Nothobranchius furzeri: one gene and its partners. The protein of the gene in region 1 interacts with the protein of each later gene in a pairwise test. Links are inferred from orthologs where the notes say so. Each region holds a gene or a part of one and is shown in the gene's direction. Other genes may lie near its edges. The genes, in order: hsd17b14, ca8, srek1ip1, mpg, psma1, phf1 and snapc3.

The links.
Region 2: the proteins of hsd17b14 (region 1) and ca8 interact in binary tests that used the Homo sapiens proteins (3 or more experiments, as listed by UniProt). The two-hybrid records come from large-scale screens. The link is inferred for Nothobranchius furzeri from reciprocal best matches to the Homo sapiens genes HSD17B14 and CA8.
Region 3: the proteins of hsd17b14 (region 1) and srek1ip1 interact in binary tests that used the Homo sapiens proteins (3 or more experiments, as listed by UniProt). The two-hybrid records come from large-scale screens. The link is inferred for Nothobranchius furzeri from reciprocal best matches to the Homo sapiens genes HSD17B14 and SREK1IP1.
Region 4: the proteins of hsd17b14 (region 1) and mpg interact in binary tests that used the Homo sapiens proteins (3 or more experiments, as listed by UniProt). The two-hybrid records come from large-scale screens. The link is inferred for Nothobranchius furzeri from reciprocal best matches to the Homo sapiens genes HSD17B14 and MPG.
Region 5: the proteins of hsd17b14 (region 1) and psma1 interact in binary tests that used the Homo sapiens proteins (3 or more experiments, as listed by UniProt). The two-hybrid records come from large-scale screens. The link is inferred for Nothobranchius furzeri from reciprocal best matches to the Homo sapiens genes HSD17B14 and PSMA1.
Region 6: the proteins of hsd17b14 (region 1) and phf1 interact in binary tests that used the Homo sapiens proteins (3 or more experiments, as listed by UniProt). The two-hybrid records come from large-scale screens. The link is inferred for Nothobranchius furzeri from reciprocal best matches to the Homo sapiens genes HSD17B14 and PHF1.
Region 7: the proteins of hsd17b14 (region 1) and snapc3 interact in binary tests that used the Homo sapiens proteins (3 or more experiments, as listed by UniProt). The two-hybrid records come from large-scale screens. The link is inferred for Nothobranchius furzeri from reciprocal best matches to the Homo sapiens genes HSD17B14 and SNAPC3.

What each region holds. Positions count from the first base shown.
Region 1 is NC_091745.1:6,244,590-6,247,578, forward strand, and holds the end of hsd17b14 (17-beta-hydroxysteroid dehydrogenase 14), read left to right. Parts: intron 1-136; coding exon 137-203; intron 204-282; coding exon 283-374; intron 375-990; coding exon 991-1,113; intron 1,114-1,188; coding exon 1,189-1,256; intron 1,257-1,606; coding exon 1,607-1,703; intron 1,704-1,972; coding exon 1,973-2,119; 3' UTR 2,120-2,489; downstream 2,490-2,989. Other genes in the region: bcat2 (branched-chain-amino-acid aminotransferase, mitochondrial), read left to right, coding at 2,724-2,741. UniProt on the Homo sapiens protein: Catalyzes the NAD(+)-dependent oxidation of L-fucose, yielding L-fucono-1,5-lactone, which rapidly converts spontaneously to L-fucone-1,4-lactone. Can also act on D-arabinose and L-galactose, with lower catalytic efficiency. Does not use NADPH.
Region 2 is NC_091751.1:59,036,832-59,040,846, forward strand, and holds the start of ca8 (carbonic anhydrase-related protein), read left to right. Parts: upstream 1-1,215; 5' UTR 1,216-1,351; coding exon 1,352-1,424; intron 1,425-4,015. UniProt on the Homo sapiens protein: Does not have a carbonic anhydrase catalytic activity.
Region 3 is NC_091748.1:63,077,273-63,081,302, reverse strand, and holds srek1ip1 (protein SREK1IP1), read left to right. Parts: upstream 1-1,230; 5' UTR 1,231-1,363; coding exon 1,364-1,376; intron 1,377-1,641; coding exon 1,642-1,689; intron 1,690-1,987; coding exon 1,988-2,146; intron 2,147-2,643; coding exon 2,644-2,713; intron 2,714-2,936; coding exon 2,937-3,171; 3' UTR 3,172-3,730; downstream 3,731-4,030. UniProt on the Homo sapiens protein: Possible splicing regulator involved in the control of cellular survival.
Region 4 is NC_091745.1:3,714,262-3,718,360, reverse strand, and holds the start of mpg (DNA-3-methyladenine glycosylase), read left to right. Parts: upstream 1-1,299; 5' UTR 1,300-1,489; coding exon 1,490-1,705; intron 1,706-2,219; coding exon 2,220-2,424; intron 2,425-2,580; coding exon 2,581-3,032; 3' UTR 3,033-3,789; coding exon of another isoform or gene 3,790-3,955; 3' UTR 3,956-4,086; coding exon of another isoform or gene 4,087-4,099. Other genes in the region: GATOR1 complex protein NPRL3, read right to left, coding at 3,790-3,955, 4,087-4,099. UniProt on the Homo sapiens protein: Hydrolysis of the deoxyribose N-glycosidic bond to excise 3-methyladenine, and 7-methylguanine from the damaged DNA polymer formed by alkylation lesions.
Region 5 is NC_091744.1:46,382,969-46,387,135, forward strand, and holds the start of psma1 (proteasome subunit alpha type-1), read left to right. Parts: upstream 1-1,367; 5' UTR 1,368-1,479; coding exon 1,480-1,482; intron 1,483-2,317; coding exon 2,318-2,362; intron 2,363-2,438; coding exon 2,439-2,540; intron 2,541-4,167. UniProt on the Homo sapiens protein: Component of the 20S core proteasome complex involved in the proteolytic degradation of most intracellular proteins. This complex plays numerous essential roles within the cell by associating with different regulatory particles.
Region 6 is NC_091745.1:62,322,322-62,326,594, reverse strand, and holds the start of phf1 (PHD finger protein 1), read left to right. Parts: upstream 1-1,473; 5' UTR 1,474-1,604; coding exon 1,605-1,609; intron 1,610-1,935; coding exon 1,936-2,014; intron 2,015-2,116; coding exon 2,117-2,198; intron 2,199-4,273. UniProt on the Homo sapiens protein: Polycomb group (PcG) that specifically binds histone H3 trimethylated at 'Lys-36' (H3K36me3) and recruits the PRC2 complex. Involved in DNA damage response and is recruited at double-strand breaks (DSBs).
Region 7 is NC_091744.1:14,009,504-14,011,806, reverse strand, and holds part of snapc3 (snRNA-activating protein complex subunit 3), read left to right. Parts: intron 1-26; coding exon 27-176; intron 177-302; coding exon 303-385; intron 386-563; coding exon 564-722; intron 723-2,303.

The sequences.
Region 1 (2,989 bases):
GGACCTCGCGGATGCGTCAAGCATAAACCAACCTTAAGAGCTGCAGCAACAGTGGGCCCCATGGTTTAACAGGAAATTGTTTAATGTGAACTTTTAGTTGTTATTCATATTAGTTTGTCCTTATTTGTCTCTTCAGATGTTGATCTCAGTCACTGTGCAGCTTTATGGACACATTGATTGCCTGGTCAACAACGCTGGCTGGCGTGAGTCGCCCTCTTGATTCTTGCAGACGTATTTGAGAATGAAGCTGCAGATTAATTTTTAGATCATCTTCATCCTCAGACCCTCCTCACAAAGCCACCGATGAAACAACAGCAGAGGAGTTCAGAGAGCTGCTGAATCTCAACCTCATCAGTTACTTCCTGGCTTCTAAAGTAAAGTTTTATACGTGCGTCAACAAATAATTTAGCAGGAATTTTTTTTACCTATGAATAGGAAAATAGTGTAAAAATATTATTTATTTTTCCTTAGAAAATATATCAGAGTTGAGAGCAAGAGAAAGGGGGAAAAGTTAAAAAATACAAAACATCTCAAGTGAATAGTTTATTTGGTCACGTCCTAAAACTTTGTGGGAATTTCATTTTAAAAAATGTACGATTTAAGGTCAAACTGTCTGATAATGGAGACGTTTGTTTTAAATAGAAGGCTTGAAATGATATTGGAGTTTAAAATCTGATTCATGAAATTTGGGAAAACAAAATTACATAAAAATAACAAAACTACAACTTGATAAAGGGAATGTGTCATCTCCAGAACTTGAATTATTAATAAAGTTTATTCAAACCTCAAACTTACAAAAAATCATGAGAAAAAGAATTTGACACATATGTGAAATTACGTTTTTCTCATTTTTATTTTATAAATAAAACCTACCCCCAATAACAGCTTAGATTTGTAACATTTGTGTAATAATATAGTTTTTATACTCCTGCGTTGTTGCAAAGACCTTCCCATCATGCTTGTGTGTGTGTGTGTGTGTGTTTGTGAAAGCTCTGGCTCTCTCTGCAGATTGCATTACCCTACCTGCGCCAGCATCAGGGAAACATTATTAATGTTTCCAGTCTTGTGGGCACAATTGGTCAGAAAGATGCTGCACCCTATGTTGCCACTAAAGTGAGTTAATAGATGCTAGAAGAATATTTTAAAAACCAGCAGAGCTGCTCTGTAATGTAACGTTTCCTCCACAAGGGAGCGATCATCGCCATGACCAAGGCCATGGCTGTGGATGAGAGTCGATGCAATGTGAGAGTGAACTGGTGAGGCAAACCTCTCTTTGATGTCACCAGTTAAATATCCAATAGGGTAATAATGTTATTTGCTAAAGAAGCCAAACAGTGAAATTTTACATTATTTTTAGATTTATGGCTTTTTGTGATTTCCTTGCTGCTTGAGGAATAATTAGCAACGGTTTCAGTAATCGTGATTCTCAAACTACATGTGAAATTAGAAAAAAATAAGTTAATGTGCAAAATTCTTTTCTGCTAGTAATTCAACTTAAAAGGTGAAACTAAAATGAGATATAGACTCAGTGCATGCAAAGCCAGACATTTCAAGCCTTTAGTTGTTATAACTGTGATGATTATGGCTTACAGCTGATTTGTTTCAGCATCTCTCCAGGTAACGTGATGACGCCGCTTTGGGAAGAACTTGCAGCACAGACGCCAGATGCTGCAGAGGCCATCAGAGTGGGAGAAAATGCTCAGGTTAGCTCAGGAAAGTAGCAAAAGCTTTTCATTAGGTACAGTTTTTGTGTCAAGAGCATGTAGCAGATGATTTTTGCTGATGCAGCAGAAGTTGCCTTGTGTTAATGTAACAAACAGCTGTACAAGACAGAATAGAGGAACAGAATGTTTCTTGATATCAAATTTGTACCAATTTTCCTTGTTTAACAGCAGTAGCTGTGTGAACAGCTGTTGATGGCAGAAGAAACTGCCTGGTACAACCAGTCACATGTGCTTTCTCCTCCCAACAGCTGATGGGTCGTATGGGAACAGAGGCTGAGTGTGGACTTGCTGCCTTGTATCTGGCTGCAGATGCCACTTTCTGCACCGGGATCGACCTGCTGCTCAGCGGAGGGGCAGAACTCAACTACGGCTTTAAGAGTCAGATCCTGTCCTGATCTTTCTGACCTCTACAGCATCGTGTGGCTTTTGAGCAGCTGGAAATTATTTTCAAACTGAAAAATCACCTGTTTACATACTAAAATCAACAGTAATGGCTCATAAAACAGGGAGGTTGGTGATGCAAAAAAATTAAGTGTCCCTTTATTTTATCTGCCTGGTTGAGTTTATGGGTTAGGGTTATGTTGGCATCCAGGCCAATTGTAACTAGACCTGCACCACCCTCCAATGCTAGACCAATCAGTATTAAACATATTTGACCTACAGTAACCTCTCTGCCTCTAGCCCAATCAGATGCCATGCATTTGGCACGCCTCTGTTAACTTCCTAGCTAAGACCATTCAACATTAATAAAGCCTTAAAAATTGACAGTCTCATTAACTTTGTCCCCCTTTTTACCCACTGGCATTCTTATACATATGGTGTAAATAGTTAAAATAAAAACAAGTACCAGTAACATATTGTTTATAAACCTGGTATGAGTATTTATGTGAGGTGCCTTGCTGTTTTCTGGCACCACAGCAGCTGGGCGGAACTAATGTTTAGTTTGTTTGTTTCCACACGAACGGATAATCTCGTTTTTATCAGCGCTACGTAGAAGAGATGGCTGCTCTCCGGACCGTGAGTTCATTCACTTATGTCTGTCTGGGGTTTATCTGTTTTGACTGATAACCTGGGTTAAAGATTAATTTGATTCATCGATAAATGTGTATCCAACCACAATATAAGATAACGTTCCCTGTTTATCACCTGGCATTACGCGCCTGCAGTCTATCCCGCTCGCTGGAAAAAGGAGAACCGAACCTGGAGTTGGAAATATTAATTTTAGTGTTCGGGGTCAAAATAACTGGCATTCGCGACCGCTGTAG
Region 2 (4,015 bases), on another chromosome or scaffold:
ATGGAGGCTGTAGTTCAGTGTGATATTGACCTGCATTCTATTTTATGACCACCAGGTGGAGACTTATTCAGCCACATAAGACTCAAGAGGAAATCCTGATTTTCTCTTGAATCTTTACAATGATAAACCTTCTTTTCATATATAAGTGCATTTTTTAAAATTTTCGGTGCAGCTTAATATTGCGTACAAGTTTCATTTGATTTGCTACTAAACTCAAGGTCCAAAACTATTTGTCACCAAAAGTGAAACCTACATAAACATCTATGACATGTCTTCTGTGGCAGATGCAGAAGTCATGTCATCACAACATATCTGCATTAAGGCATTAAAAAGTTGATTGAAGTTTCAAATGTAGACCACATGCGTATAGATGTTGTATGTTCTGTTTTCAGAGCGTGGAAACAAGGGAGGCTGACTTTATTCTGATGGCTCCAAGGACACTGTCCAGATAAAGAATGTAGGGTAATTAACATAATCAGCCTGGAGGAGATGGATGTAGAAAAAAAATCAAATGAACAAACTCTTCTTTTTGAGTTTCTACACATTTCTCTGAAATACATCATATTCTGAATGTCACTGATCAACCTTTTCTCATTAGAACAGCTTACCAGAAGTGAATTTTCTACTTTTTTTGTCTATCCATCGTGAAGTCATCAAGGTAGAACAGTCAACCCTTTCTTTCTACACCTCCTGCTGTTTTCAGTCTATTTTTTAATCATTGCTGTTTCCTTCACCCAAGGGTGGGTCTGGGGCCTCCAAGAAAACACCAGTGTGACCTTCCTGCTTGCATTCCAGCACAAGCACATTCAAAACATAGACAGGACTCACCCTTAAAAAAGATTCACAGAACTCAGACCAACCTGGAAGGACTGAACTAAATTTTCTGCAACTCAATTGATTTCCACCCAGGATAAGAGGGAAAGTCTGTGGTGGGGTGGAAGACAAACAAACACTTGCCTGTGACCATTTGGAAGAGAGCCATGGTGGGCAGGCAGGCACACCTGCAGCCCGCAAGAAAAGGAAACAAAGAAAGGAAGGAGGAAAGAGAGGAGGGGAGACAGATAGCAGAAGAGCAGAGAGAGAGAGAGAGAGGAGGAGGAGCGACAGAAAAGTGAAACAAGAGTTCTCATCTGTTATAGTTGCTTTAAGAGGGCAAGAGCTCCAGAGCAGAGAGGAGGATAAAGAATAGAATGAAAAAAGAGGAACTGAATAAAGTAGTTTTAAAAAGTTGATGTTTTACTGGGAATTTATCCAGCAAATACTTCACTTTGCATCCAAGTGAACAGAGAAAACCAGTGAGGCTGGGAGTTTACTGGGACAGCAGACTGGTTTCTACTCACTGCTAAGAACCATGGCCAACCACGTCAACGTAGAGTCCGATTATATCTCTGGGAAGGATGAGCTGGACTGGGGCTACGAGGAAGGTAGGCTGGTCACCATGAGAAAAAGATGGTGTGTGTGTGTGTGTGTGTGTGTGTGTGTGTGTGTGTGTGTGTGTTCTTCTGCATTCTTCAAAACCTGGACTTGGATCAGTGAAATGTACCTTTTTCTACCAGTACAACATGTGCAAAGAGATGTTGGCTTTACTCCCATGTGTTGCAAGTTGCTCAAGGTTGACCAAAAAAGCCTTCTGGACAGAATATTTGAGACTTTTAGCCCCAAAAAGATTTAAAATATTTTTACCTTACTTTCTTTTAATCCTTTCCAAACAAAGACTTTTTAATATGACAGCAAAACAAGGATTATAAATTACAATTAAAAGTATAATCAACAGACCACACATTGATTATAAATCTGATAGCTTCACATTGAAATACATGGGTAAAGATTTCCTATGGTGTACTGCAGTTAGCATAATACAGGTTCTTACTGCCATTACAATCTAAACATGCAGCACACACACACATGCGTGCACGCATTCAGAGTAATCTGTACTATTATTTATTTACTATTGGCTGATGAACTAGACCAGTGGTTCCAAACCTGTGGTTCGTGACCCCCAAGGGGGTTCCCGTAAGATTGCTGGGGTACCTATAATTTTGTCTTTGGTGAGGTAAAGTTAAAGTCCTAGTAGTTGTCACACACACAGGTGTGTGTGCGAAATTTGTTCTCCGCATTTGACCCATCCCCTGGGGGAGCGGTGAGCTGCAGACACAGCCGCGCTCGGGAACTATTTGGTGGTTTAACCCCCCAATCCAACCCCTTAATGCTGAGTGTCAAGCAGGGAGGCACTGGGTCCCATTTTTTCAAAGTCTTTGGTATGACCTGACCAGGAATCGAACCCCTGATCTCCCAGTCTCAGGGCGGACACTCTACCACTAGGCCACTGAGAAAGGTTGATTGTGTGCATGCAGGTAGGAGCTGGGGTTGGGGGGCCCTGGCTTGTCTTGGACACAGGAATGGGGGCCCTCATGAAAAAAAGGTTGGGATCCACTGAACTAGACACAGTCTTTGTGTGTACAGTAGATAAAGTTTCCTTTTAATCATCTGTTAAGTCAGTTTATCTAAAACAAATAAGAAATGTGACACTAAACAGCTGCTGTGACGAGGCGTAGCCCGCTCTGCTGCAGGAGCTAGAGAAAACATTAGCGGCTGATTTTTACATAACAAGGTGGGAAACACTCTCATCTTAAACACGGTAACCAGAACTTTAGTGGTTTATAAAAACCAAAGGGTGTTGTTCTTGTGTTGTCTCACTTTGTCTTCCCTCATTCTGTTTTTACTGAGCGTCGGAGGATGAACTGATTCCGTTCTGTGATTCTTACTGTGAGTATGCTGACTGATCAGGAACATTTCTGTGCATGAATAAGATTAAATAGTTTCACATATTTTACTGCAATTTAATCAGATTTTTAATAAAATGTGTCTGTTTTGACACATTTTAGAAATGATAACTGCGTAGGGCTCTTGTGATATTATAGATTTATATGATATAAAAATAAACAAAATAAACCCAACTCTATTCTGTTCTAGTTCTATTTAATTCCCTTTAATACAAATTTAGTAGAAAGCTGTACAAAATTTTTCCAGTCGCGATTTTCTGCAAATTAGTTATTTAAATAAATGTCAATTTCTACAGCAAAGGGTTTCAAACAATAAAAAAGTACAGTTGAATCTGCGATGGGAAAGAAAAGCATCATGATAAACAGCTAAATAGCACAAATACATGAGTAGAAAGGGGATGCAAAGAGAGGTGCATTATGGGATGCCTTCTCACAGCCTGGTTTATTTAACAGCATAGGGATGAGGCCATATAGACTTTAGCAGTTTTTAACTAATAAGAAATTGGCTCCAGTGAAATAAAGTATACATTTGTTTACCACAGTGTCATGAGCATACAGTGTGAAAAAGAGACAAATCCTGCATTATCTGTTGCTTTTGTCTGAGAAGATTCTATGCAAGAGCCTTGCATGCACACAGAGCTTTGCAAAGCCTTTTCAGTTCTGCAGTGAGACCCTCACGTGTTCAGAAAACTGTTGTCATGGCTTTAGTTGCTGAGGAAAGAGGGAATGTTACATCTCCGTGCTTAGCTGTGGAGAGAATAGTCCACCACTGTGGAGGGTTTGTCCCTGCGCTATAGGGAGACACACTCAAAGGAACTTGGAGGGAGAAATGTGTGTTTTCAGCATTTTATGTTTAGTTCATCTTTTTAAAACACACCAAGTTTGTCATCTGTAATGTCATTTTGGGTTTATTAGCCTATCACAGGAGAAAATAATGGGAGTAAACTTTTTTCAAAGTCATAATTTCACCATAATATTCATACATCTATGAATGTTAAAGTTCACAACAAAATATTTATCGAGCAAGGTAAAAAAAATTAGATTTACATATTTATTTTCCAAACTAAACATTTAGGTCGGACCTAAATATTTAGTTTGTGATATAAATGTTTTACTCCAAATTAAATTTTTAGCTTGCGAGCTAAGTTTGGATCTTTAACATTTATAAACGTATGAATAACATGGTGAAAATATGACTTTGAAAAATGGACTCCCATTTCCCCCTCCTCTTT
Region 3 (4,030 bases), on another chromosome or scaffold:
AATTTGCTTTGTTCTCTCACCTGCAGACGTAAACCAACAGTGATGCAGATAAGTTTATTTTTTCCAGTTTTCTATTTTGAATGCAGATGTTACAGGAATGTCAAAATATTATTTAGAAAACATTTGATCTTGCCAAATGTTTTCAGGGACATCAGCTTTTATGGGGAATCTTCTGATTACTTTATCATTTCCTTTTTTACTAAGTTAATTCTAGATTTACTTCTGGCAGTTTGGTGTGTGTGTGTGCGTGTGTGTGTGTGTGTGTGTGTGTGTGTGTGTGTGTGTGTGTGTGTGTGTGTGTGTGTGTGTGTGTGTGTGTGTGTGTGTGTGTGTGTGTGTGTGTGTCACAGCCACAGACCTAATGATGACAGCACGTCTGGGGGCCCAACATCTGTCAGCATTTTCCATCTTCAAGCCTGGCTGCTGTCAATTAACCCCTGGCAAATAAAACCACACCAGACTTTGCTGGTAAATCAATCAGGAAAAGTGCAAACATTGCTAAATAACGAGTTTTTGTTGATTACAGAGATATCATTTATGAAAACAAAGTATTTTTAATTAAAACTTGAAATATGAACTAGCTAAACATTTGGAGGTACATGTTTCGATTTATGAATTTCTGTCACTGGCTGCTGCACAAACTACCTGAATCCTTTTTCGTTTGCTGATTATCCTAATGCTTTTGTTTGTTTGTTTTTCTGCAATGTGTAAACTGTTTTATTTATTGTTGCTCTGCAAGGACATTCCTAGATGTAAATCTCAACGACCCTTTCAGTTTAAAAAACTTTAATTAAATTTAAAAAGTGGTCAAAACTACTGTCCATGTGTTTAAACCTTGTTGATGTTGAAGTACCACCACAGACCCAATGATGACAACATCCAACTGTTTCCTTTAAATATATCCAGTGTTCATTGTAATGCTTATTTTTTCTTCTTGAATGAACGTCGTTTTGATCTTTGCCTTATTGGCTAGCTAGGTCTCCCTTAATAAAGATTTTTTAACCTCCATGGGCTTTCCCTGGTTAAATAAAATAAAATAAAATAAAATAAAATAAAATAAAATAAATAAATAAATAAATAATACTAGTAACTGTAAGGAACCATAAGATTTATTTTATTTATTTATATTTTTTGGAGACGATCTTTTTTTTTTGTAGGTCTTTGTTTTTAGCACATGTCCAGCAGGTGGCGACATTGAGCCACTGATTTTGTTTTCTAAACAGGAAATTAGAAGAAGAGAGGGAGGAAGCAGTAGTTTCAGGTGCAAATGTTTCCGGTCGACGGTATTGTTCTTGTAGACTTGCATTCGCTCTGAAATATATATTTTTTAAAACAAATTTGTAGTTTTATCACCAAAAGCACAATGGCGGCACCAGGTAGGGGTTCTGTTTGAGTGTTTTTAGGCTAATTTTTTGATCATTTAGCGTAGATAAGATAAGTAAAGTGGAGCTCATCTTTACAACAGTTAAACCTCCAACAAACACGGAGACTACTCCTGGCATTTTCGCACAAATCCTGGATATATTATAACTTAGCTAAATATCGTTAAACAATTTCTGTGTTGAAAAAGAAATAATGCAGTCATAAAGCGCTTTCCCGCGTGAATCTTCGTGATATTTAACCTCTTGTATCACCTGACAGCTGCCAACAAAGACAACATCAGAGCTGGCTGTAAGAAATGTGGCTATCGTAAGTAACTTTATCTAATAGATTACTTATTAGTACAAATGTATGCATTCGATTTATTTTTCAAGTTACATTTGAAAAGTGAATTCTTTGAATCTTAAATGCTTTTGGAGACAGATAGAGGTACTTTGTTTAAAATGAGCCAAAAACAAGTTATATGATTTAAAATATGCTATCAGTAATGAAGAACTGTGTAAATAATTAGATTTAATGTTTTCACTGACGTTTTTCCATCTGAACAAATGTTCTTTTCCTTAATTTAGTGTTTCAATTGTGATCTCTTTTTGTGTTCGTTTCTCAGCGGGACATTTGACGTTTGAGTGCCGAAACTTCGTCCGGGTCGACCCGCAGAAAGACATTGTTCTGGATGTGAGCAGCACCAGCAGCGAGGAGAGTGAAGATGACGGACCAGTTTCTCAGCACACAGAGAAACTGGGACGGAGTGGTCAGCATCACAAAGGTCAGATGGCTTAAAATTTGCTTAAATCAATAATATTTTGATTAAAATAAAGCAAAGAAAGTGCAGACTACCATCCATCTATCTATTTTCCTCCGCTTATCCGGGTTCGGGCCATGGGGGCAGCAGCTTAAGCAGAGAGGGCCAGGCTTCCCTTTCCCGAGCCACTTGGTCCAGCTTCTCTGGGGGAATCCCAAGGCGTTCCCTGTCCTACTGAGAAACATAGTGCCTCCAGCTTGTCCTTGGTCTTCCTTTAGGTCTACTCCCAGTTTGACGTGTCTGGAAAACCTCACCAGGGAGGCATCCTAACCAGATCCTCTCAATGTGGAGGCAGACCGTCACCGCTTACTTTACATAAGAAACTAAAAAAAATCAAACAAGAGACTTTCAAATGCTAATCAAACTTTCTGTTCTTCTATGATTCAGGTCCTGTTCTGCTTCTACTGTGACTTGCTTTGATTCAATGTCGACTTTTCCTTTCATTATTTTCAATGTTTTAGATTCCAATGATGATGACGATAGAAAAAAGAAGCGGAAACAGAAGAACAAAGACAGAAAGTCAAGAAAAAGGTCATTTATCTTGTGTTTATATTAAGATACGTGTTTTTAATGCTCCTATATTCTCAATTACTGTGTTGAAAAAAGCATGTAAGTTGTTGGAAAATATTTTTCATTCCACTAGTTAAAGATAGACTAATAATGTATTATTTTAGATGTTTTTATAGTTGATACTTAAAGATTTGAAGTGTTTTCTTGGTTTTACCAAAGCCAGTAACTATTATTTAAAATTTAGATCTTACTCGTCGTCGAGTGATGGGGGCACAAAAAAAAAGAAGAAGCGAAGCAGATCAAGCTCATCGTCGGATGAAGAGGAGAGAAGAAAGAAAAAGAAACTAAGCCGCAAGAAGAAGAGTAAAAAGAACAAAAAAGAGCACGGGAAGCATCACAAAATGAAAGAGAAGAAGAGGAAACACAAATCATCCTCATCATCCTCTTCCACCTCTGGTGAATCATCAGACAGTGACTGAACAGTGTCGTTTCTGGACGACGTGTTTATTCAGAAGTGTAGATGGTCTGCGTTTTGACACTTTATAAATGCAGCAAATCAAATAGTTTCATCTGAGCTTTCCTTTCTGAGTGTTAAAGTAAATTTTGTCTGCTACAGATTAATGGCAACAATATGACGTAAGGGTTAAAATGACTGCTGATTTCCTCTGAGACTGTCAGGAACCCATCTTTATACAAGGATTTAAAATATTAAACACTTCATACTGCAGGTTAATAAGTTCCTATTTCTGTTATTTTTATGTATTTTAGTCAAAAAGGATCAATTTAAAAGGTCAAAGTGCTTTTAAACATGAGGGCAGTACGGTGGTTCAGTTGGTAGTGCTGTTGCTTTGCAGCGGGAAGGTCACAGGTTCAAATCCTGACCTTTCTTTGTGTAGGTTGCATGTGTGAGGTTTCTGCAAAAATGCATAAACAGTCAGTGAAATGCATCATCTTTGCTGTAATTACTGCAGGTTTGTCTTAGTTTTCTGTTGATCACTGACCCTTTACTGGGAATAAAACATGTTTGTTTCAGTTTAATCTGTCACTGTTTTCCCTTTGTAATCTAATCTGACCAAATTTAATAAACCACCAATCCTGATTGACAAAAAAAAAAAAAAAAACGGACTAAATATGGTTCATATGCAGCCACATGGCCACTAGAGGGAAGCATCACACCTCATATTTCTATCTGGTAAACTGCTGTTTAACAACATCAGCACTTAAAAGAGAAGTTTCAGCTTCATGAAAGGTTTGGAGTTATTCACTAGTGCTAAAGATGCTCAAAAGTCCCTAAAAGAAGTGCATTCAGATCCTTTCACAATAAGGCTGTATTAAGTA
Region 4 (4,099 bases), about 2.5 Mb from region 1:
CATATTTAAAATGGTAGGGGGGTTAAATTTTCTGTTAAGTTGCAACTTTATTATTTCTAAATTACCAGTGAAACTTTCAATGTTTCACCAGCAGGCTTTACTTGCATGGAAATTATGCCATACACATAATTTCTCCCCACACAAAGAAATATTATGGAATAACGGTAATATTACCATAAACAACAAAAGCTTATACAAAATTAATTGGGTTGAGAAAGGCATCATTTTTGCTGCGGATTTATTTGATGATAACGGAAGCCTTTATACCTATGAAAACTTTTTGAAAACTAAGGACTTTCCAGTGAAATACAGAGAATTTGCCTCGGTCATGAGAGCCATTTCTTCAGGCATAGTTGAGTTAATGAGAGCACACTCTGTTTATCAGAGATTTAGTTTGCAGATGCCATCTCTAAAAGTTGGGGGTATTGATTTATTAGACAAGAAATGTTCAAACCAGCATATAAGGAAGGTTTTATGTTGTTCTGATACAGTGGCACCCAAAGGAAAGTTTTTCTGGAACACACAGTTTGATATAAATTGGAAGAAAGCATGGATGGTTCACTTTCAATACTGTATTTCAAACAAGATAAGGGAACTTAATTTCAAAAATTTACACAATATTTATCCATGTAACAAAAAAATATCATTGTTCAAGGATCTGGATGAGAAATGTACCTTTTGTCACACTGGTTCAGAGACTATCATACACTTATTTTATAATTGTCCTCTCTCATCTGGATTTTGGAAAGATATGGAAAATTTCATTATGATTAAATCCAAACACTCTATCCAAATCAGATCTAAGGATGTTATTATCAAGTTTGAATGTAATGATAAAAGGTTAAGTTTTATAATTAATTTAATGCTTCTTTTAGGGAAATTTCATATACATAAAGCGAGGGTCTCCAAATCTCTCCCTAACTTTTGCGTTTTCTTAAATGACTTCCATTCATATGTTAACACCATAAAGTTAATTGTAAATAAGAAGGCAGAACTCACTTTAATAAGTCTTCAATGTTTATTTCTGATTGACCCTGCATAACAAAAACAATCAAAAAATGTACCTTTTGGAAGGTTGTATTATCTGTTATGTGCCTCTTGTCAATTAATGAGCTGATGTCTGTTCGTGTGTATATTTGATGTATGTTTGTTAGTGCGACTATGTATTTGTGACAAAAACAAATAAAGTTTGTTTAAAAAAAGATGATGTCTGCAGCCAGATGCTCTTGGATGCTTGTGATCACATCACGTCAAAAAGGCGCGCGGTCCCTTTAAGAGAAGAAAAAAAACAATAATTTACTTCCGGTATGTAGTACGATACAATCATCAACGCTGCAGTGAAACATAGCCTAGTGAACTAGACCAAATTCTAAATAATACATTTATTTTGTCTGGCTTGCCAGGCTAGTGAAACACAGGAAGACCTTTGGAGTGGGCGTGTGGTGGAGATATTTTAGTTTAGAGCCCCGCTGTGGGCCGAGTCGATGTTATGGCTGCAAGGAAGAGAAAAACAGCTGATCCAACACAGAAAGAGCCGGCTTTGTCCAAACGTGAACCACCGATGAAGCCAGTTAAATGTGACCCAACTCCAAGCGTTGAACCGGAGCGAAGTCGTTATTTCAGCAGCAATGTCGTTCAGCACAGACTGGAGCAGGACTTCTTTAATCAGCCTTGTATCAGTCTGGCTAGATCGTTCCTTGGCAAGGTACTAATAATTAACATTTATGCTTTATTACTTTTATTAGCAACACTTCATTTTACCCTTAACTAAAATTCTCACCCCCACATATCAAAATCTGCCTATCTTTAGGAAAAGATGTTCTAAATAAACCAGTATTTATTAAAAAATCAAAAGTGCGTCATTCCTTTCTTATTAAAATGCTATAAAACTACATCAGAATGTACTGTGGGACTAGGTTGGTGCACTAAAACGATCAAACTAGACCAGATCTCTGCAAAAACCTATAAGTGTTTTTTCAGTGTAGGAATTAATCAGAAAACGAAACGGAAGTCAAATAATTTTGTCTCACATAGTGTCCTTATTTCCAGTTTGGTAAATAAATAAAATATTTAAAAAAAATCACAATTATCTTAAAATCCCATGTGAAAACATAATTAGTATGTAACTGTATCAGAACACAATAACACATGTATTCCCTGCAAGTTTTCAGTGAATAACTTCTCTGCTTGTCAACTAATCCCAGACCTTTGTCTGCCAGGTGTTGGTCCGTAGGTGTGCAGATGGAACTGAGCTGCGCGGGAGGATAGTGGAAACTGAAGCGTATCCTGGAGGAGAGGACAAAGCTTCACACTCATCTGGAGGCAAACGCACTGAAAGAAACACAGCCATGTTTATGAAGCCAGGCACAATCTATGTGTATCCAATCTATGGGATCTATCTGTGCATGAACGTGTCCAGTGAAGGTACGGTCATGTCCATCCTCACTGCACACATGCAGCTCTGCTCTGTGTTTTATTTGAGCTAGTCAGCATTTGTTTTATTTTGTTGGCGAAAGAGAAAAAGGAATGAGACCTAATGGAGCCTTGCTAATGGATGCATATTGTGTGCCGTTTCCTCAGGGGAGGGTGCTGCTGTTCTGCTGCGCTCTCTGGAGCCCCTCCAGGGTCACTCTGTCATGAGGAAGCTGAGGGCAGCTAGGCGCAAAGAAGGGGCTCGCCAACTGAAGGACAAAGAGCTCTGTAACGGGCCTTCAAAGCTGTGCCAGGCTCTAAATATACCTCGCTGTTTTGACCGTAGAGACCTCGCTTCAGACCCAGAGGTGTGGCTGGAGTCCGATCCAGACACAAGCCTGGCAAAGCCCCAAGACGTAGTATCAGCTCCTCGCATCGGGATCGAGTCCCACGGGGAATGGGCCAAGAAACCATGGAGGTTTTATCTCCATGGGCACCTGTGTGTTAGCGTTGTTAATAAAGAGGCAGAGAGGCTGTCTCCATCTGGAAATGTAATGTTCAGTTCAGGTCCACGAGATGTGCCGTCTGTAAAGACGAAGAGAACGGAGGAAGATTCCTAAAAATGCTTTTCCATCTGGGCCCCCCACCCCAAGTTAAACTCGCATACGTTATCTGATTGCGGTGTGGAAATACCCCAAACGTTACACAGAACATAACATGAAACTGTGCCATTATATGGAGAATATGTAGGCAGCTGTTTCAAAGTCAAAGTGATGAAATAAACTCCGGCTGGGATTTGAAAGGATAGAAAAATTATTTTACAGTTTTGAAATGCATTTATTGATGCAAAAGTATACAGAAGAGTGTAACGGAGTAACCAAGCAGATCTAACAAAGTGGATTCAGTAGATCAGTGCCTGTCAAAGTACTGAACCGTCTTTCTCAGTGTCATCTGTGATGTTCCATTCCCACGTGGGAAATGTTCCTTTCAGTGACTCCACAGATGTTTGGAACGCTCAGTTTCCCCTCAACCATCAGTTTGATGCTCCGTCTCTTCCTTTTCATAACAGTTTTTCCATCAAAACCTCTGGAATTCTTAAAAAAAGGTAGTTGGAGGTCTGGAAGGATCACTGTGACCCCGTGAAGCGGGTGGGGAGATCACGTCAATCTCCCAGCACACCAGTCCTTCCAGTATTCACAGTGGCCTCTTAAGGCATGTCCGTTGCTTACAAAATAATTTTATATTGTAAACCCACATTTGGCTCAAAGAGAGAACACTTTTTCATGTGTTGTAAATCTTTACACGCGTATGCTTTCGTCTCAGTTTGTGGTGAAGGAGAACCCGGCTGTGAGCAGATTATCTGCTCTGAAACAGCTGCTAATCCATGGGAGACTGAAAGATGGAAATTACGGGATCCTCGTGATTGGTCACTACAAGGACACTGCGGAACTTGTCGAACAGCGTCTTGAGCTGCGAGCGCCTCATGTTCTCATTGTACATAATTTCTTCCAGGTGGTGATGTCCCCGGAAATAATGCAGCAACCTGGAATTGGAAAAAAAAAGGCAGAAACACATTAATATTTTATCTGTTCTTATGTTTTACAATAAAACACCCAACCCAGTAAGTATAAAAACAAACACAAAGCTCTACTTGTTAAACGTGGACTTCATTACCTTGCAAACATTC
Region 5 (4,167 bases), on another chromosome or scaffold:
AAAATCTGAATATTGTTGGGATAAGTAAAGCCTGAGTGTAGATTAAATAGGTGTGAACACAGTGAGAGACCAAAAATGGACAAATGTGGGTACAATATCTCTCATTTTGTCTTGGTTCAGCTAGTTCTCCTTCCCACTGGTTTCTGCTGTAACAGCAGTCAGTGACGCATGTTTTTGAGTGTCACCAATTTGGTAAAATCTGTTGGATTTCCTCATTTACTGCTTCCACCTAGTGTTCAAGCACCATCACTGCATGTGTAAAGATGAGAGGTTTCTGTAGTGATGAGGAGAAAAAACCTTCGCAAAATGTTCAGAAAAACTACATATATTTATTTATTTTGACTTAAATTTTATGAGGATGTAAACCGCTTGAGATGAGCCATCTCATTTTCGAGCAGGTCCTCTTTCTTTACAATCAATAAAAAAAGAAAGACAACAGAGTCAATGTACAAACAACAAATAAAGATGATAAAACAAAAATAAATGTAAATTTAAAAAAAATTATTACAAATAAATAAACGAAATAAAAAAAAGTTTAAAAAAAGCCTGCATGAGGTCATTTTTTCCACATTATTTTTACATTTTAGTTTAGGTTATTTTTGGTAAATAAATATATGATTAATACATTGGTTGTGCTGTTTGTGTAACCACAAGTTGCAATTGACTCAGGGGCCTAGTGGTATGAGGGTCTACCCTGAGCCTGGGGAATGGTGAGTTCAAATCCCTGGTTCAAATATGTTTGGGCCATACCAAAGACCTTAAAAAAAGGGTTAAACCACCAAATGAGTCCCGAGTGCAGCCATGTCTGCAGCTCACTGCTCCCCAAGGAGATGGATCAAATGCAGAGAACACCTTTCCCACACCAGTGTGACAACTAGTGGGACTCGAATACCTACATCTCCTTTTCTTTCTCTAATTAATTTTCATAAACTTTCTTATCTCTATCTTGGTCTCATAGACTTTTCAGTCAAATGTGGCAGTCACTTGCATGTAACAAATTTCTATACTAAAATAGATTGATTCTTAATTAAAATGTTTGTAATTCTTAAAGTCCCATTAGTCATCACACATTGGTGAAATTGCTTCTCCACATTTGACCAATTCCTGTGGGGAGTGGGGAGTTGCAGCAGTGGCTGCAATTATTTGGTGGTTAAACAACATCATCATCATCATCATCATCATCATCATCATCATCATCAATAATAATAATAATAATAATAATAATAATAATAATAATATGTGCAAGTGTTAAAAAAATTGAAAGTCAAATAAAGCCCTAAGGAGAAGTGTGTCTTTTAAATTTTATTTTCATAAATAAATAAATAAATAAATAAATAAATAAATAAATAAATAACGTTTGTTCACTCAGTCGATCAGAGATTTGAAATCAGGGCTCTGCTGCTTTTCCCTGACGTAACGCCCAGGAAAAGAAATCGAGAATCGAGAAGTGTGGACCGCATCGCACACTCCTAATCAGAAATGGTAGGTTTGAATGAAATTTCATTTAGTCTTGCCAGTTTAAAATTATACATTATTTACACAAAAATAAAATAGTTAGTTTACCGTTATGCCTGTTCATTTATCATTTAGAGGATCAATTTAGTCGGTGTGAGCTAACATAACTAGCTTAGTTTTGTCTGTATTGTGAGTAAGCAAAACAGCCTTGGAAACTGTTGGCGCTACACTGATTATGACTGCCTACTCGCATAAACCAGTGTGTTTGCTTTACTGTGTTACATTGAATAATACGTAATGACCCCCGAAATTGTAATCGATATGACAACATTACTTATTTAGATGAGTCCAAAGCCGGCAGCAGGCTAACACTAATTGTTAGCTAACATTAGCTTCTAAGTTAGCCTTAGCAATGCTCGGGGTAGGCTGTGCTTTCGGTTTCTCAGCTCACCGTTCATTTTGATAGTGACTTATTTTGTCTGTCCGTGTGGTAAAGCTAAGATAGCTACGAATTGATCCACAAGTATTTCTAATGTCAGCATTTTACTAAACAATTGGTACACAGAAATCGAGCAGGAATATGACCTCAGCCAGTCTGAAGGCTGCTTGTGGTTCGGAGGGAGCTTAGCAAAATCGCGAGATTATCAGTTATTTATTCATTAAAGTAATTTAAAACCTCTGGGTAGAGAAGACCTGGCTGTAGACCTACAGGCACGGACATTGTTAACTTATCGCGTCAAAGAAATACGTGAGAAAACAGTTAATAAAATGCAAGACGATTATGTAAGTTCAACCATTGATGATTATTCTGTAATGTAAGACTTCTAAATCTAATTTTGGATTTGTTTTTCTTTATCTGTAGTTCCGCAACCAGTACGACAATGATGTGACAGTATGGAGCCCACAGGTAAGTTTTCCTCAGCATGAGTCACCAAGTGTAGATGTCACACAAGTTGCTTATGCTCGTTTTTGTGCACTCACAGGGGCGGATCCATCAGATCGAATATGCCATGGAGGCGGTGAAGCAAGGATCTGCAACTGTAGGACTGAAATCCAAAACACATGCAGTCCTGGTTGCACTAAAGGTACATCTCACTGCTGAAACTGTCACCAGTCTAGATTCCTCTCACTTGATGTCAGTAAGGGACCTGAACGTGGTCTCTTATTGACATTTACAAGTTTCTGTGTTGTTGAAAATGCTGGCCTTTTGCTGATTCCCATCCACAAGGAAAACTAGAATTATCATAGGATGAAGGTAAAGTTTATGGTTGTCAAGAATACCAAACTTTACGTGATGCAGCATGACTCTATAGCTAGTTTTGTAGGAGCACTACTCAGCCTGAAACTAGGGATGCATCGATCCACATTTTTTCACTTCCGATTCCGATAACTGAATTTGAATATCTACCGATACCGATATTATTTCGATACTAGAGGAATATTTGTTTTAATGTCATTATGATTATTATTATGGTTGATTTTATAAGGCTATAATAAACTCTTTTCTACAAGAATGATATGTAATTGAGAGAAAGCCCTACAAGTAAGAGCCCAGCACCATGTCCCAAAAGATAAGTTGAGATAAGCGAGGTCATAAAACAACTAATTGTCTATCCTAAAATAAAAATAAAAAAGCAACTAATGTTTCAAATTGAAATTTATTCAATTTCAAGGCAGGGTTACTGGACGCAAGTGCATTATGCACAATCAAAGAAACAAACCCTTTCAATTGAACTAAACAGCCCAGGTCCAAATAATCACACTAGGCAGTAACACATTTTTAAATTGTCAAATATGAATTGAAAAGGGTAAACTTCCATAAAACTACTCCAAATAAAATAGAGGGCTTTATCCAATCCCCACAAATTAAGTTCACTGTCTTTTGTAGTATCAAAAATGTAATTTTCAAGTATAAAATCACACTATCAAAAAAAAGTGCATCTGAGACAAATTCAGTAAGTCTTTGCTCATGTAGCAGTAAAAAAAACAAAAGTTTTCAAATGTTAAACATTTTGAATTAAAGAAAAGTGCAATGTAAACAAACAGCAACAGTGTGCATCTGAAAAGTACAATTCAAGCATTGGAGATTTTGCATTGCAGGTGACCTAGATAAAGTTAACAATCTTGTCAGAGTCTGGAACTATTCTTGAAAAAAAATGTAAATGCGTGAGGTACTTAAATGTTGTTCATCTAATCTCACTTAAACAATGACAGGTTCTTTCTGAGGAATATAAGCATTTCTGCTCTTTCTGCTGTCAGACCATTCCTTTTTTCATCCACAATATAGACCCTTTTACTACCTACGTCATCAAAAGTTGCGCGCGCAGCCTGGCAACGAGAGTGAAGGCTTTCTCATTCACACTCGATACTAAAACAGCGTTTTAAACCCTTTGTTTTGAAGTTCTGAGCACATAAACATGTCGGGTTGTTGCGTGTATGGATGCCAGAATCGCTTCTCTTCAAGCAGTGGACTGAAACTTTACAGAATTCCGAAGGGAGCACATCCATTTCAACAAAATCGGAGGCGTCTGTGGCTGCAGGCCATCAAAAGGGTAACTGCAGCCTTTTTCTGTTTTTCCCATCCTAACACAAAGCTCAACTCTGAATAAAATTGCTGCTGCGTGGCTGCAGCATGACCCAAGTCTGGAACATCAAAATGACAGAATTAAACAAATTTATACGCTTTCTCTATTTCTCTAAAATTAACACGAA
Region 6 (4,273 bases), about 56 Mb from region 1:
ATCAGATCAACTCTCATCCTGATCTCAGCTTTTAAAAACCACTGATCTCAGGGCAGTTTTAGAGTCAACATCATCAAAACCCGTTTTTGGTGTCTCTTGGTAAGTCTATTTTCCTGACAACCACACAAGCGTGATTTATGATTGTCTGACACTTTCAAATCTTCTCTGATTCTCCAGCTGCAGTGTTTCCAACAGACTTCCTTGTGTTTGCGCGCCATCTAGTGATCACTTACTGAAAATAACACTTCACCTTCTTTTGAAGAAATATTTACCAGAGGCCATTTTGAACCAGCGGTGTTACCGTGCTCGTGTCTGACTGGTGAAATAAACACACGAACAATCTGGGATTTGTCAGAACTAACCAGTAAGCACGTAAGTGAGCTAATGTAATATTTTAGGGTCTTTTATTAAGTACTTCTCATTTTATTTGAAGTTAACTCATGTTGTTGGATAACTTGATTTATATCGGTATAGTTTCATATTTTGAGAAAATGTTGAAGCAAGTGTGCACGAGTTCCTCATGATGAGTAAAACGAAACTTTTCAGAATCAGTTGTATACCGCTGATGTCCTTAAATGACCTGTGAAAGAAGAGTAAAGTTCATGTCAGCAGAGACTAAAATTACAAGACCTTTTAAAGTGTTCTGCTGTTAAACTTTTCTCCACCGGTCTCCTAAACTTGTTGAAGACCAATCAACGAGGCGGGAAAATACACTAATTGGCTGCTTAATTGGCCGCTGTTACGCGCGCTTCCACCGAGGCTGTGGTGCCCTCCTGCTGCCCTTAGAGCTCAGGCATCACTGTATTGTCACAACTGTTTACCGGTCATGCTCTCAGACGATAAGGAGCCCCCCTCCTCGGTCGGATATGTCGGTGTTTTATGTCTGCGTCACAACAAGTCGGCGGAGAGCGAGCGGGAGGGATGATGGCGTCTCTGGCGGCTTGATTCCGGCGCAGCTTTGACAAACCCGCACCGTATTAGTAGCTGGGGGGGGGGGGGGGGGACGGAGGGGGAGCAACAGCGACGGGAACATGACGAAACGGCATCGCGGAGGACGGACAAACTAGACTGAAAGACGGACAGTCGCCTTTGTCCTCCTCCTCTTCCTCCTCCTCCCCCTCGCTGACGGCTTGACTGACACACTGGCGCCTGGCAGAGACACAGAATACATGCACATCTTCTACTTTTCTGTTTCCTTTTCTTTTTTTTTTTCTTTTCCACCAAAAGCTGCGCATCGCAGCAGGCAGGAATCTGGGCAGCAGGGATCCACGGCAGATGAGGGCATTTCCTGTCCAGGAATCACCGTGACCCCGACGGAAAGGAGTTCGACTTGACAGGTACCCTTCACCGGCCAGCTCACTGTCCAATTGGCTCCATCCTCCATCAGATGCTGCTCAGCATCCTGCATCTGCGTAGACCTGAGTGCATGCACCGGAACAAATGCAGTGTGGAAAAAGAACAGTGTCTGCAGTCATTTCACGCATCTGTTTAAGTTTTCTTAAAAACTGAGAAGGTGGCGACAGCAGCAAAGTCCACCGAGGATGCTTCAAGTGGCTGCACAGGGAGCTCTGCCTGTTCAGTGAAACTGTGTTGCAGTAACCATCATGCAGTGAGTGTGTGTGTATGTGAGTGTGTGTGTGTGTGTTTGATGTGTGCAGTAATCATTTATCTTCCTCTCTGGTTGTGTATACTCACTCTCATCCTTCACTGTGCTGGATACAGGCTGTATGCTCAGGTCTAAGAAGGAGGAGGGGGGGGGGGGGGGGCGTTTAGATTTGAACCCATTTGCACCAAAACCCGACTGTCTGAGAGGCAGTCAGAATGCCGGGGCTGTAAACCCCTCCGTCAGCAGCGGCGGCGGCAAAGTGTTCAGCAAATAAATCGGATTTCCATTTCACACGAGCCCTGCTCTCTCCTCTCTGTGTCTCTCCTCAGGATGGGGGGTGTCAGTGAGGGAGATGATGTGTTGGCTCGTTGGAGTGATGGACTACTGTACCTTGGCAATGTAAAACGGGTATGTGTGTGTGTGTGTGTGTGTGTGTGTGTGTGTGTGTATGTGTGTGTGTTGATCCAAAGCACTCTGATGATGATGATGTTTGGTGTCTGCTCTCCTCAGGTAGACGGAGTCAAGCAGTGTTGTCTGGTGAGATTTGAGGACAACTCTGAGTTCTGGGTTCTGAGGAAGGACATTCACTCGTGTAAGAAAAACTTTCTTTTCCCGTCAGCTGGAGGAGTTAGAAACTTCCCTGCGCCGAGAACTTTTCTGACTGAGCAACAGATTTCAGCAGCGAGTTTCCTGCAAGTCTCCAAATTATTTCAGGCCACGTTTAGGAAGATTTCCTGTTGCTGCTGCTGAAAACGTTTCTGAAAGCTATCATTAACATGCATGTTTTCCTTTTTCAGACTAATGGTTAGAATGTGGTCAGTGAAAGACTATTATTTTTTTACACTTTAATTTGAAGGATTTGGGCTTTCTTGTAAAGTTTTCTTCAGTTCTCTCCTCAGGTTTGATTCTTTTTTTGTCATTTTCTGGTCATAGCAGAATTTTAAGGTAAACATTTTTTTTCATTTGCTTTAAAATGAACACATTTGAGGCCAAAAGAAGTGTCCGAATTAAAGATGCGAGAAAAGTCAGGATGTCTCTAAAGAATCAGGGCCAGAGAGATCCATCATCCTTAAGCTTGATGGCTCTTTCAGCTTCACCTTGTTGGAGCGAAAATCCGCATCTGTACCTGTCAAACTGGGAACTTTTTACTGCCTTTTTAATAGATTCGGCTAAAAACGGAACATGTTGTGTATGTGACAGGCTTCGGGTAACGGCAGAGCTTAAAGAGCCAATTCAGAACTGGTTTTGTTTTGTGTTTACACAATTCTGGCTCTTCTCTTGGGAGCCTTTTTCACATCTGAATGACAGATCAGAGATTTACCTCAGCAAGTCAGGAACCTTTAGTGTCGAAGTCAAAGGGTTGTTACTATGGATGCACATTATATATCTGCATCAGGTCGGTATCAGTTTGATAAGTAAATCTGGGCCGATATTGGCAACAAATATTTCTTCCATCTTGTTTCTGTTTGTGTTTCAGTTTCAGAGGGTGAGAGTGATGTGTGACTGTTTAGTCATGTTACAATGATGCGTAAATGTGTGTGTATGTAATAACACACACACACACACACACACACACACACACACACACACACACACACACACACACACACACACTGGTATCGGCCCAAAATTTCATATTGTGCATCCCTAGTTGTTACTTTATAATAAGAAATGCAGATACACTGCAGATCCAGCAGTGGTGCAAAGAACTGCAACACCCATAATGCATTGTGTAAATGAGCTATTATAGGCCTTTCTAAACACGAACACCCTATTTAGCATTTGGTTCTGAACTCAACCTGTAAATAACTCCTCAGAATGCTCAGCAGTTTCCAAGAAGAATAACAACAACAGTAACAATAACAACAACAACAACAACAACAATAATAATTACAATCAGGTGAAGCTTTTCCTAAAACAGCCTACTTTCAAATTTTCTGTCCATTTTTTGACTATAAAATTGACACTCCCTCGTTATTTATTTCCTAAGTTTCTAATAAAGAAGCTTAATGAACCATTAAAGGACATTCCCAAATGTGGTTGGAAAAGCAGCTGAAGTTCAAAAATGACTTTGGAAAACTTCTGAACAGGACCTATTTTTTAAACAAGGCCTTTTTATTCAAGTTTTAACAGTAGATTTTAAACTTACCAAACTATACGGGACTAAACCCATCGTCCCCACCCACAAAGGAAATAACAGAAACAAACTATAAAGACACACTATCAAATTAAGACAGAAATGGAACAAAACCAGATCCACTACAAGGATGTTTTAAAACAGATTACAATATAGCCTGAGTGCTTGGAAATAAAGAAATAAACAACAAGACTTGAGACTTTTGCACAGTTCTGTTGAAAAACCACAATTTTTGACATTTTATGAAATAAAACTTTAGCTTATCCGCTGTTTGCTTGGACCTCACATGTGCAGTCTTTAGTTATTATGAAACCTGATATAGTCTTGAATATAAATCCCATCAAGATTACTTCTAGGCTTCAAAATAGTTTACTTTCAGACTTAAGCCCTGTCCACACGTAGCCGGGGATCTGCCAAAACGTAGATATTTTCTACGTTTTGGCCTGTCATCCACATGAAAACGGAGTTTTTTCACACGAAAACGGATCTTTTTAAAATCTCTGGCTAAAGTGAAGATCTGCGTTTTCTCC
Region 7 (2,303 bases), on another chromosome or scaffold:
CCTTTCCTTGCGCGTGTTCCCTCCAGTTTAACTTCACCAGACCTTGCATGACTCTGCTGATGACCGGCTCCCACACCCTGACTGAGCTCAGGGATGCCATTTGCTGCATCAGTGATCTGCAAGTGTGCGGCGAGTTCAGCAAGACCCCAGACGTTGCTCCAGACTTCATCAGCAAAGTATCCACATGCCTCTAAACACACACCCACACATACTGTGACAGTGCTCTTAATTAGAAAGTTACTGAAGATGGTAGGAAAGAATGACACAACATAAAGCTGCTGTTTTGATATGTTCTGTTTCAGGATCATTTTAAGTCGGCATTCTTTTTCTTTGAGGGAGTTTTCTACAATGACATGAGATTCCCTGAGTGCCAGGACATCAGCATGTAAGATTGTATACTCCTATTGACTGAGACTGTTTAGAATATTTGATTGTTGAGCATCTAATTTTCCCCTATTATTTGTAACTCCAGTAAAATCAATAACAACGTTCTAAAAGGCACAACTCTGTATATTCTGAGATTGGCAATTTTTATGATTGATTTCTGCACCTTTTTGCTCCAGCACTACTGTTGAATGGGCAAAGGCCCATAACTTCCCCCAGTATAGTCAGGCCAAGATGGAGGACACGCGCTTTGTGGATCTGAAGGTGAAAGTAGGATTCCCGTACCTCTATTGCCACCAGGGAGAATGTGAACATATCATCATTATCACAGATGTCAGGTTGGTGTTGTGTGATTAGAGTGTTTGCATCACACAGAACTAGTTTAAAGCAACACTAAAGAAGTTTTTTGCATCTCCACCTACTGGTTGAAAGTTGAATTACAACCGTCGTAAAAAAATCTACCACAGCCTGCTGTAGCTAGGGCTAACAACGAGCTATTGCTAACACGAGCCAACTGATACTAATTCAGCCACGAAGTATAAAGATCCACACTGTTGGACAAAAACAACTTACAAGTCCAGTGGCAACAAAGCCAGGTCACCATCAGATTGTGATTTTGTAGCCTCCTTCAAACAAGTTTGGCCTGCACCGATGTTCATTCTACTTTTAGCTCTTAAGTTCCAGGCACTGTCATGAAGTCAACAAAAAAAGCTAAATTATTCTTTTTCTTGTACATTTATCAACAGTCAGCAAACCAAAAAAGCTAACTGCTAGCCTTTATAGTAGCCACTGATGCAAACAGCTATTGCTGTAAAGAAGGTAGAGACCTCCAACTAGAGTCTCTACCCGAACCACAAAAAGCTTGAGGGCAGTTTCTGATTAGCAGAGGGCTGCAGAGTGCTGTCCAACGTGAAGCTGGTCAAGTTAATGAATCAAGAATCACTGAAACCAGTTTAAAATCAATAACTTTTAGTGTTAAAAGGTCTTAATTGTTGCTTCAAATCTGAGGAGTACGAGTGAGAATAAAGAAAACTGCATGTGTGTAAATAGTTGAACGAGATGTGTTGGAAAGCACTTTGCAGAACTTTGAGGAGGTTTTCTTAGTGTGGGCAATAAAACACGAAAGTTTTAAATTAAACTGTGAAGAAGGTCGCACGCGCCAAAATGCGTCGGCTTTTCCTTTTTTTTTTCTTGCTGATAATAAACATTTTTCAGAGTGCCTCGGGTTACCTGTTTTTCTTCCCCATCCACATTCCATAATTTTAAATGAAACCATTTGAAAATACACAATAAAAAACACTGATTTGCAAAGCTGCAGTTTCATTTGAGGGGAACTAAAGATTTACGATTGAGTCAATGAATGAAAAGCATTTTTAGGGATGTGAGAAAACCTTGATACACTGAAATATCACAAATAAATATTAATATTTAAAAGCAGTGTATCGATTTTAAAAACAACTTGCATGCTAACATTTACTGCAGGGGTGTCAAACTCAAACTCACACGGGGCCGAAATGAAACTCTGGGACGGAGTCGAGGGCCAAACTTAATATTTTTTGAAAAAGTGACGGCAAATTTGCACATTTTCTTTATCAACATATATGCAATTTTGAACCTTTAAATTTGGAAACAAACATATTTCTGCATTAACACTGAATGAGGAATAACCAAATTACACACGAGCAAGTCAGTTTTAAATAAAAGGCATCAGTGGTATTCATTACTTGTGGTATAATCAGCATTTTATAAATCTATTCAGGATTTATGTTTTCTTGTTTATTCATTTTTCTTATTTTTTTATTGTCCTTTTTTCTCCTGTAATACGTGTCATCGCTGCTGTGACATCTAGCTTTCCCCACTGAGGAACAATAAAGGGATTTTCTATTCTATTCATCTATCTGCAGCCTTTCCACTTCCTG